Linked DNA regions of Mytilus edulis. The protein of the gene in region 2 interacts with the protein of the main gene of each other region in a pairwise test. Links are inferred from orthologs where the notes say so. Each region holds a gene or a part of one and is shown on either strand. Other genes may lie near its edges.

The links. The genes of interacting proteins can lie anywhere in the genome.
Region 1: the proteins of protein patched homolog 1-like (region 2) and E3 ubiquitin-protein ligase NEDD4-like interact in a two-hybrid assay, tested with the Drosophila melanogaster proteins (2 studies listed by BioGRID). The link is inferred for Mytilus edulis from reciprocal best matches to the Drosophila melanogaster genes ptc and Nedd4.

Annotation. Positions count from the first base shown.
Region 1 is NC_092347.1:25,259,057-25,267,550, forward strand, and holds the start of E3 ubiquitin-protein ligase NEDD4-like, read left to right. Parts: upstream 1-4,884; 5' UTR 4,885-4,982; coding exon 4,983-5,024; intron 5,025-8,494. UniProt on the Drosophila melanogaster protein: Essential E3 ubiquitin-protein ligase which accepts ubiquitin from an E2 ubiquitin-conjugating enzyme in the form of a thioester and then directly transfers the ubiquitin to targeted substrates.
Region 2 is NC_092344.1:121,131,921-121,140,061, reverse strand, and holds the start of protein patched homolog 1-like, read left to right. Parts: upstream 1-4,920; 5' UTR 4,921-5,212; coding exon 5,213-5,314; intron 5,315-5,739; coding exon 5,740-5,932; intron 5,933-8,141. UniProt on the Drosophila melanogaster protein: Segmentation polarity protein. Acts as a receptor for the hedgehog protein (hh). Associates with the smoothened protein (SMO) to transduce the hedgehog signal leading to the activation of wingless, decapentaplegic and patched itself.

The DNA of each region.
Region 1 (8,494 bases), on a different chromosome or scaffold from region 2:
GCAGATGTTCTTTGGTGGGTCAACTGTTTGGCAATATCTAAGTTAAAAAAAATTGAAATCACATTTCTAGATGATTAGGCTATAGAAAAGTGTTTTTCTTTGCTTTTCATTTTCCAGATATTTTCTTATCTAAATTAATAATTCTTAATCAAGTTAAACTGTCCCAATCAGTAATCAGATTTAAAGTAATTTATTAATTAAAATGAATAAGCAGCAATACATAGTAGTTTAACTGAAAAATCCCAAGATATCTGAGCGAATACTTAAAGGGGAAGCTGTCAAATTCGTGTTCACCAATTTGATTTGAATTGTCATATTTGATTTAAAACACTGTAAAACATCTATTAAAAAAATCAAAAGTCTGAAATAAACAACTAACAACACATGGGCTCGATAATATGTTGCTTCGTTTCGTGTGTTTTTTTTTAATCTAGACGACAAACAAGAGATATGAACATAAATATAGATAGATCATAGTAAGCGAAATCGTGTTATTGGATTTTTCTAGGTCTATTTAATTTCCTCAGTATTATGGATTCAAAACATGTTAATCATCGTTTTTACCTGTCTAAAAATGTTTTTTTTTTATGATCGAATCAGTCAATCAAATGATTTCTATTTGTTTCACTTTTAGAGTTGACATTCTTTTCCTTTTTAAAAATAACTGTCCACGCCACACGATTCATGCGTTATAGTTAAAGCCGTTAATTTGATAGAAGTTCATATGAAAACGGATTCAATGAGGTCGAATTATTCACTTGCAAGTGAATAATTCATCATCAATGTTTCTTAGCTTCTTTTGACAAAATTGAACCGTATTTGCTGCGAAAAGCGAATTATTATTTCACTATTTTACTTTCATTGATGATTGAACAATATCACATCATTTTAGATTTTTATTTATCTCGTAGCTATAGGCCTATGCATCTTATCGCTGTTTGACTGTCATTATTGGTCATCACAAGGGTACATTAAAATGTTGACGTCATTATAATACAAATTATCTGACACCATAGTAGAAAAGTGATTGTTGCATGACGTCAATATTTCAAGCGGCACGGGATCTCGGGTCACTGCGGCCGGGAATAGCGATAAGGTGTATATTATCTTACATAGTCTTCTTACATAGTCTGTAACTGAGCGCTGGATCACTCCACTATGCTCAGATCTTCAGTTATTTGCTGACTTGTTTCGGTTCCGGTTCCTGTGTCAGCTTTTGCTCTATAGTTATATTTCATTTCACTATTTGTCCAATATTTATCTAGGCGGCTTTCAAATGTCTGAATAGTTGGTGCATTTACAACGCTGCTGGGTAAGCTGTTCCATATTGGTGCAATTTGTTGTGTGAAGAAGTTGGATCTTATGTTTTTGTTGCATCTTTGGATGGTCAGTTTTTTGTTGTGTCCTCTAGTAGCAGAAGTGGTGTTATATGTGAGTAGGTTAGGTAACGCTTCGTCATATATTCCCGATGTTAATTTGTAAGCTTCTATCATATCACCTCTCATTCGTCTGTATTTAAGTGTTGGTAACTTAAGCTTCTTCAACCGTTGTTCGTACTCTAGATCTTTCAATGTTGGTATCAATTTTGTTGCTCGCCTTTGAACATTTTCAAGTGCTGTTATATCTTTAACTTTGAATGGGCTCCATATAGCATTGGCATATTCGAGGTTTGGTCTTGCTAGTGCTTTATAAAGTAATAAGAACATTTCCTCATTGAGGCAGGTAAATGTCCTTCTAATTAGTCCCATAATACTATTGGCCTTATTTATTTTTTCATTCATATGTTGTTCGAAATTTAGTTTGTTATCAATGGTTACTCCTATGTCTTTTTCTTTGTCAACATGTTCTAGTGTGGTGTTACACAGGTTGTATTTATGGTTGTTATCATGTTGTTTCCCTGTTGTTAGGACTTTACATTTATCTGGGTGAAATCTTAGCAACCAAGTATTTGACCAAGATTCTAGATGAGATAAGTCTGTTTGAAGTGCATCACTATCATCTGTTGTTTGTATTTGTCGAAAGACTTTGGTATCGTCAGCAAACATGTAGCAATCTGAGTCAAGCATTTCTGGTAGATCATTAATGTAGATGACAAACAATATTGGACCCAGTATACTGCCTTGAGGGATGCCGCTTGTTACTTGTTTGAATTCTGAGTAGCTACCGTTGACACGTACTTGTTGTTTTCTACCACTAAGGAATGATGTTACCCATGATATTATCTCTTCTGATATTCCGTAACTCTTTAATTTTCCAATCAGTCGTTTGTGGAGGACAGTATCAAATGCCTTCATGAAATCAAGGTATATAGTATCTATGGAACCTCCATTATCCAGAATTTTAGTCCATTTTTCAAGAACATGGAGTAGCTGTAATGTAGTCGACCTTCCTGATAAAAATCCGAACTGGTAATCACTAAATAGTTTATTTAGCCTCATGTGTGACACCATATGGTCTCTAACAAATGTTTCTAGGAGTTTGCAAAGTATGCACGTTAAGCTTACTGGCCTGTAGTTTGATGCCTGTTTTCGGTTGCCCTTCTTGAATATGGCTGAAATACATCCTTCTTTCCAGTCTTGAGGTATAGTTTTTTCTTTCAGCGACGTATTGAAAATTATGGTTATTGGAGTTGATAGTGCATCACACACGTCATGTAATAATCTAGGATGAATATTATCGGGTCCTTGTGATTTATTTATGTTCAGGTTTTTCAGGCGTTTTTGAACATTCTCCTGTTTAACTACGAGATAATTCATGGCTTCCTTTACGGTTTGTCCTTGAAGTTTTGGTATGTCTCCATCGTCCTCCTTTGTAAAGACGCTGGCAAAGAAACTCGAAAGTGTTTCTGCCTTTTCTTTGTCGTTGGTTGTTAGTACATCATTACCATCTTGTGTATTCATGACGAGATCGGATATTCCAGTTCTAGTTTTAGTTTTTGATTTTACGTAATGCCAGAATTTTTTCGGGTTATTTTTTACTTGCTTGGCAATTTCTTTCTCTTTCATCTTGACTGCTTTTCTGGTAAGTTTCTTTACCTTGTTTCTGGTTTTACAGAATTCTCTATATTTTTCGCTACTTTTTGTTTCCATATACCTTGTCCAGCATCTGTGTTTTTTCCTTATTGCTTTCAATGTTTCTTGGTTGAGACCTACAGCTTTATTTTTTTTTGCTCGATTGTCCCATCTTCAAAAATACCAGTCACTTCAGGCGTGCCACAGGGTACAGTGCTAGGACCCATACTCTTCCTTATTTACATAAATGACCTTCCGGAATACTTCAAACACAGCAAAATCAGACTCTTCGCAGACGACAGCATAATTTACAGACAAATTAAATCTCAAAACGACTGCCTCATGCTTCAGGAAGATCTAGAAGCCGCCATACAATGGGAGCAAGACTGGCTCATGTCTTTCCACCCAGACAAATGCAACATAATGAACATAACAACAAAGAGAACTCCCATCCACTTCTATTACAACATGTATGGGCACATATTAGAATCAGTAAAACATGCTAAGTACTTAGGTATCACAATTTCTTCAGATTTAAAATGGAACACCCACATTCAACAAACAGCTGCCAAAGCAAACAAATCTTTATGTTTTATAAGAAGAAATCTCAAAGTCCAGTCACAAAAAATTAAAGAAAGAGCATACCAAACCATCATAAGACCTAAATTAGAATACTGCTGTACTGTATAGGACCCCTATACAAGTGAAAACATACGATCACTAGAAAAAGTACAGAGAAGAGCGGCAAGGTATGCATGTAACAGACATCACAACACCAGCAGTGTGTCTGATATGCTAGACACTATGAAATGGCAAACATTACAAGAACGCCGGCTAAGAACAAGGCTAATAATGTTTCACAAAATTACAAACGAAAATATTGCCATTCCTTCACAAAATTTATTACAGAAGAGTCAGTCCGTCACAAGATCCACCAACAAAGATGCTTACAGACAAATCCAATGTAACAAGGACAGCTACAAATTTTCTTTCTTTTGTCAAACAATTAAAGACTGGAACAAATTGTCCTCAGTCATAACAAAAAACACCACCACAGAAACCTTCAAGGATGCACTCACGCACGATGTGCTCCTTGATACATATCCACACCTGAAGTAATCAGGCAATCATGTTTTTATCTTAAATTAAAAAATAAAAAATAAAAAATGTAATATCCAAAAAATCTAAATAAAAACGAAAAATCTAAAAACAAAGAAAAAATTGTAAAAATTGATAATAAAAATATAACAAATATATACAAAAATATGGAATACATATATGTTAAACTATATTTATAAATACATAAATTTGAAAAATTATACCAGGCATGCGCCGGAAAGTAAACATCAGTATGTTGATGGTTTTCTGAAACTAAAGAAGAAGAAGATCTTTTTATGTGGTATGTATTTACTTTGGAGTTCCAAGAGTTTGTCTTTAAAAAATATCCATTGTTCATTTGTTGACTTCTCTTTCATTATGTTGTACCAGTCTATATACACCTTATCGCTATTCCCGGCTGACCCGTCCGCTTGAACTTTTGACGTCAACAACAATCACTTTTCCATTGTGGCGTCAGACATTTTGTTTTATGACGTCAAAATTTTACGGGAACCTGTGTGATTTCCAGCAATGGCGGACAAATAGCGATAAGGTGTATTGCTCAGAGTGCCCCTTTAACCAACAAATTCAATCGTAGATTATTTATTAAAACTATTTACAACGTATATATCTAGGGAAAATATATCAATGCATTATTTGATACCTATTAAACGTGTCGTCGGTCATAGCAAGTGTGCGTCACATGTGATTATGGTATTACGTCAGCGTAGTATTGCGAAGTACTTTATTGCAGGTATTTGGTCATTTTGAAATATCCGGGATGTGGTCGATTGCGATTGCGCATCTAATACAGTAAAAACATCAACACAACTTGTGCTGTAATTTTATCCAAGTTTGTTGATTTGATAGTGAATGGCACAATTTACCAGAACTTATGGGTTGCAGGAGCGATCAGTAAGTTTTTATCAGTTGAAGCCGAGAAGTTGAAAATGCTTGAATCGATGTCACCACATGATTTTCTCTAAAAAATATATAAACAGTGATACGATGATCGAAAACTGTAAAATGGGAGGGTGCTTAGCCAGGCGTCAAACGGTCATTTATTGCTACCGTTAGCGTCAAATTGAATAAAATTTAACGGGGATTCGTCAAAATTTCTTTTAGTTCGTGGTGTCTGCTGTAAGTTATGAAGAAGCAGGCTAAATTTCTAAAGAAGCCTTCAAGTAAATGTGGAAGGATCAGCAGTCCACGGGGACTAGCTAGCTATTTGCTCCATCAGCCAAGTTTTTGGGGAACTGTTGTCCGCAAGATCATTGTCCCCTCCAGCTTGCCGTTTGCTGAAAAAACTTTGTATGTCCATAAAGTTCAATGTTTACAGCTGACTATTAAAGTATCGACCACATTTTCTTAGGGAAGCAATCCTTTCACTTCCCCCACCTCAAGAGTCATCATACCATTTTGACTCTCACACAAGCATACCCTACACTGTAGCTAGAATTCCTCTCTAACAATCCATGCCCATGTTTTTTTTATTTAGGCGCCAATGTAACTGAAGAGCATGAATTTCGTTACAAAATTGCTTGTCTCCACTAGGGCCTCAACCCTTGGACTTCTGTCACAAGGCAGTTCAATGTTTACAGCTGACTATTAAAGTATCGACCACATTTTCTAAGGGAAGCAATCCTTTCACTTCCCCCACCTCAAGAGTCATCATACCATTTTGACTCTCACACAAGCATACCCTACACTGTAGCTAGAATTCCTCTCTAACAACCATGCCCATGTTTTTTTTATTATGGGGCCAATGTAACTGAAGAGCATGAATTTCGTTACAAAATTGCTTGTCTCCACTAGGGGTGCTATAAACAGTTTCGTATAAAAAACTAGGGGTTATTCCGCAACTAAAAATAACCATGGAGGGAAACCCCTGTTTATTTACTCAATTGGTGAAAAAGTATCATGTTTTTTGTATTTGATTGTAAAAATTAGTTAATTAGCTTTCAATTAAAACAGGTTGAATGATTGAAATAATTTAAAAAATTATATTAACTTTACATGTTTTGAGGGGAGACAACACTGTAAACATCCTATTTTTTTGGCAGTGAAAATTGAAAACTTATTTGCAGCCACTGTAGCTCTTTTCGGAGCGGGAAACCGTACCCTGAAACAAGATTTTTTTGAAAGGCCAGGTAAAAACCTACAAATTTCATACAGTTTTGATTAGGTAAAATGTGCATGGATCTGGCTTCATGGGTGTGCACATGACTGGTTTCAAGTTTTTTATGTTCAAATTAGACCTTTTTTTCCCCATGTTCATTGGATGGAATATTTTTAATATATTTAAAGTACACATTATTTTTATTTCATCATAAACTAGAGAACATTCTGATTCCAGTGATATCTAGTTTTGTACAAGTATCTTTATTAATCAGTCCACCACTAAGGGTCACTTATGCATGGTCCCTCAAAATGTGACGTCATAGAAAAAAACTGTTGATTGCACCCTAGGGCCTCAACCCTTGGACTTCTGTCACAAGGCAGGGCGTTTACCTACTGAGCTAAAGAAGTACCTTTTGAGCTAAAGAAGTACTTCCTTAGCTCAACCACTTATGGCTGACAAAGTATCTACCACATTTTCTAAGGGAAACACTGTCATAAAATTAACGTTAACATGGTTAATGTTATTTTTGGAGAAAAAAATTAACATGATTGGTCTTAGTCATTAGTTATTTTTATTTTCTTAAAGATAATGCACATTTTTTATTGTCATGCACCTAAAATTGCTGTTAACGTCATTTGGCAAGAATTTTTACCATTGTTGGTCCTGAAGGTACTCCCATGTTATCATATGTTATCACCCCACTTGACCAGAGAATCTGCACCTCTTCAGGCTCTTGAACTAATGATGTTAAACAACAATCAACTTTCCATTGTGGCATTAGATATTTTCTATTATAGTATAATTCATTATGATACTTATTCTGATTGGCTAACTGCACATCACATGTTATTTCGTAAGCAATTGCATTGCTCAATAAAACTTTTCATTCATGATAACACGTGGTCCCACAATAAAGTGCACAGGTAAATTAAATAAAACAATAATGAAATTTGTGTTTTCAGGATCATTGCTAAAAAAATGTAATCATAAGCATTGAATGCTTCTTTTTGTAACTTCATAGGATTGTAAAAGCGCTGACCGTGTGCACATTTTTAGTAGCGCTTCATACAAAATGTACTTCGGTCAACGCTTTTAAACCCCAATGAAGTTACAAAAAGAAGCATTCAATTCTTAAGGAAAAATTTACTGAAAACTTTGTGATGTAAATCATGTTCAGTAATGACAAACAAATAGGGCTAAAATGTATATGAAGCAGGTGCTACCTGATGTTATTGGGTTTGTTGCTATTGAAGGTTAAAATTTAGTACATTATTGTTTATTTTGTACCCACCGTAGAAGAGGGGGGCTTTACGTTTTACCCTTGTTAGTCTAATAGTCCAAAATTGGTTCTGTTCTGTTAAGTTTTTTCTCAACTGAATGTTATGAAACTGTAAGTTAATAACACAATGCTTATTACCACAATTTGTATCAAAACACAGATTAAGTTTCAATTTTGATGAGGTCATATTAACCGTTCCAGAGTTATGTCCCTTTACAAATGGAAAAAGTGCTAAATTTTTGGGGAAGACGGCTTCAAGCCGTGAATCCCCAATGGGGTTGACCAGAGTGACATTCCCTCACATCATTCATTTTGTTTTTATAGCGTGGAAAACCCCCCCAACAAATCTTACTGAGAATGATGAGATGGTGAGACACAAATGAATAAATTGACTTTAAACACTTTTTTACACATTTCCCTTCTGTTTTTCTCGAAATTATCGTATATTGAGCTCTCCTTTACACTATTTAGGTTTCTTTTACAATCCGGAAAAATCAGTATGACGAGATATTCTAAATATATCCAACCTACATTATATTTTATAGTGACGTCATTGTTGGAATGCCACACTACGCATAAGCAGGGATATCCTTCACTGGTTATTTAAATCATTCTCAAAGATTGTGCACTTATTAAAAAATAGTATTTGTTAAATTTAAACATAATGATGTTTGCTGTAGATGATTCAAACATCAACATGCAAAACTTTAATTTGTAGGTCAACAACTTTCAAAGTAAACAGGAAGTCTGAGGGGCTACATGAGATGGGGGAGAGAAACGATCTTTTCCATTTTTTTCTGTAAATCTCTGTTTTGAGAATCTTCCTCCAATTCAGGAGCACCTCAATTTATGAGCTAATTATCCACTAAAATAAATACTTAAAATGTGACATTTAGTATATGATAAGTAGTCTTCCATTAAAACTAAATTTTGTGTACCAACATAATCATTGTAATAGTTACAAAAAAAAATACAAATATTGCA
Region 2 (8,141 bases):
GATAATCCAAAATGGTCAATTAGTCGAAAAGGCGTCGGTTTAAATTTCGAAGGGACGTCTTCAACGTTGGCACTACACACCGATGATTAAATAATTTCTTTATAAGCAGTCGGCACAAGTATAGTATTATGTTCGGAGATGCAAGTTCTTGAATAACAAAGCTCGGAGTTATACAGGCGCTGATGAAATGTTGCTGTATTGGGGAAAAAAATCATTAGGAAGCTAAAATCCCCCCTTTTGTCCTGAAGATTTGTTCTCAACTGACCTCGTTGTAGATTTCTAAATGTAATTAAAGATATGAGGCAGACTGAGTTTATATGGTATTCTTTATTTCAATTTCGATGGTACCGCATTCAAGTGCTTCTGTTGTTCCGTTGTTTCCTCTCATAGTTGATGCATTTCCCTCGTTTAAAACCCGGATTTGCTTTCTATCGATCGATTTATGTATTGAACAGCGGTTTATTACTGTATTATGTTTCCTTTTATGTATCGATGCATCCAACATAGGTATCAAACTTTGAGTTTTTAATTAGAAGACATCATGCAAAAAGTGAAGTAAAGGAATAATCTTAGCTCCTTTTTTCTATTCTTTCTATGAAGCTCGTGTATAAAGTCTGCTTCATATCAATTACACAAGTGGGCAAAAAACGAACACAGTTGGTTATCATACTGTCTTAAACTTCTATTATCAATATTGAAGTTTGGTATGGCAAAAGTGTACAGGGTACAGAAGTCAAATGTACTCCTTGGAGTCCGGTACATAAATAAGGCCGTTAGTTTTCTCGTTTGAGTTGTTTTACATTGTCATTTCGGGGCCTCCTATAGCTGACTATGCGGTATGGACTTTGCTCATTGTTGAAGGCCATACGGTGACCTATAGTTGTTAATTTCTGTGTCATTTTGGTTTCTTGTAGAGAGTTGTCTCATTGGCAATCATACCACATCTTTTTTATATCCTATAGATCTTGGAATTAGTATCAGCTTCTGATTGACACCTTCCCAGGGAGATGGTAGTTTCATAGTAATTTTAAAATCTGTCTTTAATTGATAAGTAAATTGATGTTGATAGTTTTGAAAGAGGTTTTGTGAAACAATTGGCAGATCAACAAATGTGACGTTGTATGAAGGACATGCATTTAATTTTGGCGTCCAGTATAGTGAAGGAGGATCCAGTTCTAGTACTATACAGTTGCGTTACCAAATATAGGTTGAGTCTGACAGTGAACACTGTTGTGACAATACATATATTGTAATCAAACAAGTGTTTTTTGTTTCGTCTCCATAACTCTGTTCCTTGTCCTTGACTCAGTATAAGGAGAACTTTTCATTTCTGAAAAAGATTGGCTGTAAAATTATCGAAAGCTAGGATTCATTAATGTTTTGGCTTTTTTCCCTTGGTTCATTGACCAACGGAACTTTCTCTATATGTAGTAAGACCTTGGTCCCATATATGTTCAGTGTTTAGTAATAATCAGTTCATTGGACATTTTCACATGTCATCTTTTTCCATTTTTTTTTTATTATCAGCTTTTTAATTTTGAACTTTCCGTTTCTATATTGCATGCCTGCAATAGGATAATTATCTCCCTGTTGAAACGATATTCCAGAGCTTTCATTTCTTAATATGATTTGTTTGATGGAGGATTGCTGTTAACCGATGGTCCCAAGTCAAGTGGTGAAGTTGAAGTTGAAGTATCTCATTGACAATTTCTAGGAAGCCATGACCAGTCGATTGGTTGTTATTGAAAAAAATTTTGTCTCTCTCTTGGCATACTTACAGTTTCCTTTGTTTGACAACACCTTCCTCAATTTAAAGTTGTATCGATAAGAGACTTAGTATGGCGTTCATTATCACTGGACTAGTATATATTTGTTGATTAACAGCTGAAGGACGCCTCCGGTGCGGGAATTTCTCGCTACATTGAAGACCTGTTGGTGACCCTCTGCTGTTGTTTTTTATTTGATCGGGTTGATGTCTCTTTGACACATTCCCCATTTCCATTCTCAATTTTATTATTTCTTTTTGACTTGGCCAAAACTTTTCAAGCGAATGTGAATGGATCTGCACCTTGCTTAACAAAATTATGTCGTAGCCTTGGTCGAGTATTTTAGAGATGGAGACACGAGTTCAATAACAAAATTGAAATTTATTTATTTCGGAGAAAATGTGTTGCGTTACAATATTGGTATCAGTAGTTGCAGATTTAGTGAAAATTATCATGGTTAAATGTTAAGAAATGTATATATTCTATCAATATGTTGAACGTTGAATCGTTGTGACACTAAATGGTCCACCTTCCTACGACAAAAACACTCTTTCAATGCTTAATTTCACAACTAGTTAATAAATAAAAAGTGCATACTACTTTATTGCAGATAATTCGATATCACCAATAAGTTGTTATATCAATGGAAGTTAACCGGGTTCAATACGGCTTTGGTACATGTTTATCGTCGAAAATCGTACGTTTTTCAACTTGTGGTAATGGATTGCTGTCTTGTCTCATTTCTATTTATTTGTCTTTACTCTATGCAATTACAGCACGATCTACTTGGATAACCTACATAGACCATTACCATCGACGATTCCTTTTAAGTTGCCTTCTGGTTTGTTGAATGCATGACACTTTTCTTTACCGCAAACTGCTATGGTGTACAATTTTTTGCTAATGAAACCCTACAACATAATCATTTCAGAGACTGATCTATTTGTTGCTATACACTTTTTCTAGACTTTGAAACTTATTTTGTTTCTGTAAAGTTAACAAAATATGGTACCCGTTGTGTGTAATCAATTCTTTAACTGTTTTCATCCCAGCTCTCTGAAACTGCAACAAGAGATTCCTAACATACTGAATATGTGCACCTGCAATGTGCATTCATTTGAGCTTTTTATCCAACCTTCGGAAATTGGATACGACTTGAATCCATTATCTTTCAAAGTTTTAGAAAAACACTAAGGACAATGGTAACAATGTTTGATTAAATCAACTTCATGGAAAGTGGTCATCTTTCACTACAGAAAAATCTTTGTCGGTTTGGACGGTTCAAAACCGGCTTTAGGTATGGTGATTTTTCGTGGTCTGTGGAAAGTATGTATCCAATTTGTGAAATCAAATCCTACAGCAATCAACCTATATATTCTTAAATGTGCACCTGCTATTATATTACTCTAATATATTGTTTGAGTAATGTTGTATCTCGTTTTTACACATTGGGAACTTTGACTTTTTCTGTAAAAATTACAGAAGACGGTTCAAGTTTAGTGTAATAAACTCCTATATAAAGGCAACAGTAGTATACCGCTAGTGTCCAATTCAAATTTCTAAAACTTCACAGGGAGATTATTTATATTTTGCAGGGTTCATCTGATATTATAGAATTGTTTGAGTAAATTATCTCATTTGACCAGCTTTTTTCAGCAATATTAATAAAAGAGGGTATATTTTTTGTGTAATCACCCGCTGCTACAGTTTTCAGCCCAGTTCACTGAAACATCTCCGGACGTTCATATGTGTTGGAAGTTGTACACCTGCAATAATGGAATTGTTTGAGTATTATTTTACTCATCATCCAGACTTTTTTAGAAAAAATTATGAAAAAGGAATAAGTTTTGTGTGTTATCAACTATAGTTTTCAATCCAAATCCTTGCATCTTTACAGGAAGATGGCACATATGTTGAAGGTGTGCACCTGATTTTACGGAATCGTCCGAGTGATTTTTCTCATTATTCCAGTAATTTTTTCAGGAAAAAATAAGTCACAAAAATATAGCAACCTTGTCATTTTACTTTTGTTCTTTTTACATTTTATGTAATATTGTTTTCATATATTTAAAAGAACAACTTAAGAATCATTCCTGGCAAAATGGCAAACCGGCAAAAATTTTTTAATCTTTGATTCATTTTAAAACTTAAGAGAAATTGAATTTTCGGAAGCCTCGATACAATTTACTTATCTTTTTTTCTCATTAGACTGAGATTTTGGGTTGTTGTCTCTCTTACGTTCATGTTGCATCTCCCTAAATCATATAACATTTTACATGCTTAAAACTTGTACCTTGATTTCAGTAGTGTTGAATTATTATTTAGTTATCCACTCTCTTTTACAGAAGCAAAAATCAGTTAGAAAGTGTTGAACATTTCTACCTTGCTTCAGTTGATTTTGGTTATCTTTTTTGTTTTCACTTGTGCTTTACCTTAATTTTCTTACAATTCCCATGTCCATAAAGAGCAAATATTTTAATAGCAAATAAAATAATTCACGTATTTACATTTGGAGATTTTCGTACAAGACCACTTCAGTTTTATACGGTCTTTTATAATCAATCTCTACAAAAACTAAGGGTTTGTTGTTTTCACGAGGTATTTAAAGATACGTCAGCGTGACAGCCCGCCCAGGTTGTACGGCAATACGACGTGTAATTTATTAGCATCTGTCATTTTAATTACATTAGTTTTAATGTAATATAGAAGGTCTCTGAATTAATTCGTAATATTGAACTAGAAGATCAACTGTAACACATTAGACAATTACACAATAGTTGATATGATTTGTAAAATTAAAAATAAAAATTCTGCCTTTTCATAAGAAATCTATTTGCTTTATATATCCGGTGGGCTTGATAATCACGATAATTCAGTAAGCAAAGATTTAGTTCATTAAACTACAAGTTTCTCTTTGTGTGACAAACTCACTGGCTTGTGACATTTGTAGTCGGTCTTACACAGCAATTAAGTACGGGATTCCTTCAGAAAATATGCCGTTTATTTAACGCTGTGGTAGTTCTCGCATCTTGTGTGGTCCGCGCACTGTGGTGAACTGTTGCTTAGCAACTAATGTAAGCTGCTGTTACTTGAGCAATCCTATTTAAATCTGGCCAATCCGATAACAGACAAACACGATATCATCTTGTCAGTCATTACGAGGAGGCGGAGCTTAACGCAAAATCGGGAGTCTTGAAGTTCGCAAAGAATGATATCGGATGTATGGAGCTTACAGTGTTTTGTTTGGATTTTATCTTCTATGAGGACTTCAGAATTATGAAGAAATTTTCTGATATAAAGATGTACTTACATGCATTTCAAACTGTGTGATAATAACATCGATGTTAATTAATAGTGTATAAACCGAACAACATTCCACGTGGGTTCGAATAGCATTCAAATGACATAGTTTATTTTGTGAATTCCCCCTTCAAAAACGGGAAATCATGAGTATTCGAAGGAGGGGCACTAATTCACAAATTGATGAGGATTTGTTAACGAGGACTAGTTTTGTGGATGCCAGGATAGCGTATAAACAAGTCAAAAAGGTATGTGAAGCGAGGCATCTCCATGACCTCATTTCTATCACAACTCTCTGTGAGTTCTTTTTCTGTAATAACATAACATGTTGTGTAGTTCATTAGTGGAGAAAAATTACATTTGTTAGAAGAAATTCCATGTATATTAAAACATTGTGAATTGATGTGTGTTTTAGCCTTAGGGTAATGTCATCTATTACAACATCACATAATAATGAAGTTAGATTTATCCATACTTTTTAGCATATTTTTTTGATGGCAAATAAGTCTAAGTTCCAGAATTTTAACTGTTATCTCATATGCATGTATGGTCCATATTTGTATGACAGAAAAATGCTTATCTTCATCCACTTTCAATATGTTTTTGTTTTCCCAATAGTTATAATTTGACCATCAATAAAGTGTACGTCTACATTTTCTTTTTGTATTTGCAGGGTAAAGCAGATGGGAATAAATGTGCGTTGTGGGTACGATGGCATCTGCAAAATTATATGTTCAGTATTGGTTGTTTCATACAATTACATTGTGGGAAAGTTTTGTTTATGGGATTACTATTGTTGTCGTTGTGTTGCATCGGATTCAAACTGGTCAAATTTGAAACTGATGTTGAAGCTCTTTGGGTAGAAGGTAAGTAATCGTGTTAAATGTGTATTTTCATCTTTATACATTCGTTAGGTATAATGTGAGGCAGTATATTCATTCACAAACAGCGCTTGAATTGATAAAAGCAAGTAAGCCGCCATCTTGTTTTGTGACCTAGAAATTTGATCTTGACTGTGTGTGGTCTCGTCTGTTATATTAGGAACGCTGAAATCATCAGAGATTGTTGACGGTTATAGTCGAACAATCGCACACTCACTGGTCATAAGTTTGATTATTCCCGCTCATTAAAGTCATTAGATTGGTTGTGATAAAATCGATAAACAAAGGACGTGATTACATCTACCTTGCAAATTATCAATATTCTCTAAACTGACTTTGGAGCATTTGTGTAATATCAGATTGGCACTCCTTTTTCAACAAGATTTGGTAACAAAAAAGTCAAATATTAATTACAAAAATAACAATAGTGCATTATCAGTTCATCTTAATCAGATATTTTGGTAACGAGATTACCGTTTTCTTGGGAGGTCTTCTGCATACGGGTTCTTAAGGCAAACCTCTAACCAAAGCAATTTTTCATGGGAAAACTGTACATCTAATTTTTGTATGCTTTAAACTTTATATTCTTACAATTTTTTTTTCTTGATTGAGCAATTTTAAAGTAATATCTGGAAATATAAAGAAAAATCTGAATGATATATTTACGTCACCTTTAGGGTCATACGTACTTTACTTAATAAAGTCCGAGATAGTGGTATGCTGAGAAAACAACTGGCTGTTTTAGAAAAGTTTTAAACAAATGCAGTTGGAAAGAAACTTTAATGTCATTCAGTATATTAAATTCCTGGTGGTCTATCACACATGGTTAAGAACATTTTAAGAGAATCTAAAAGGTAGTTTTATTTTTGTGTGTTTTATTCAATAGGGAAGAAGGACTGTCATTACCTTTTCAGTCTAAAACTGGTTTTGTTGTAAAACATTTAACAGCATGCAAAGAAAGATTTTTTGCTGATAGTAATATTTTACAACTGTTTTATGTTGAACACATCTTTCTAGTTAATAATAAAATCATAAAGCCAAAAGCATATAATAATTATATAGTAGTATACTTTGTAAACAACATATCCAGTGCATTATTTAGTGTTATACACAAAGTCTGTTCTTGCAATCTTTTTGATTAAAGTTTTGATGGCTTGGGCATGTGTGAGATATAAATTCTGCTTCAGTTGGAATACAAATATTTTTGTGTTATCATCTACAAATGAATTTTACACCAGAAATCAGAAATAACTTCAGAATTTCTTACATAATGTATCATCTGCAATAAAATTTCTGAATTAAAGCATATATTTTATTACGTTGGCTCATAGAGGAGTAGGTAAGAATTGTATGGTTTGAATGTTACATTTTATCAAAGGTATATTAATTATTTTAATTTACTCCAGGTTTCATTTATTTAATTAACTTTTTTTATTTTGCTAATAATTTGGGCGGATTAATTTAGCATGAATCCTTATTAGGTTTATATTGAAGTGTTTTTGTACTTCATTGTAGCTTTTTGTTATATGTATATGTAAATTGTAAATCTCATATTGAAAAGACATGAAATATTTGCTTCTAGACATTAATCCACCAACGATCAATCAATTAAAATGGAGATCAACCAGAAATTGGGGACATCTTTGAGCCAAAAATTTTAAATGTATGAATAAAAGAGTTTCTGTTGTGGTTTTGCATTTCCAGATTTGTTTTTTCTATCTCCCCTGTCAAGATCAGATAAAAAAGTGAAAGAAGGTTTTAAGATCATCTGAAGTGATATAAATAGTGAATGTTGTTTGACCTGGATTCCACTGATAATTTGACAATTTTAATTTGTGTGCTAGTATTTCACATGATGGAGGTTTTTTATGGCTGAATGAATCAAATACTTTGTATTCTACCTAGGTCATTGATAGTGTGACCAACTTTTGATAATGAATACCAATTTTCTTTCCAAGGGATGAAATCTTAACTTTAAATGAAAGAGGAGATATTATTTGTGTCATGTTGAATAGGCTTATGGACTCATGGAGGGAAAAGATTTCCCGTAATTACACATAATAAAGGTGTCTTAAATACACAGTTTATTTTATATAAATTTTATTTTAGTAAAAAATGTCCCTGTTTACATAAAAATTGCTGTTTACAGAAGATTCATCTTGATTGGCAAAAAGGGTGTTTTATTTTGTTCAGT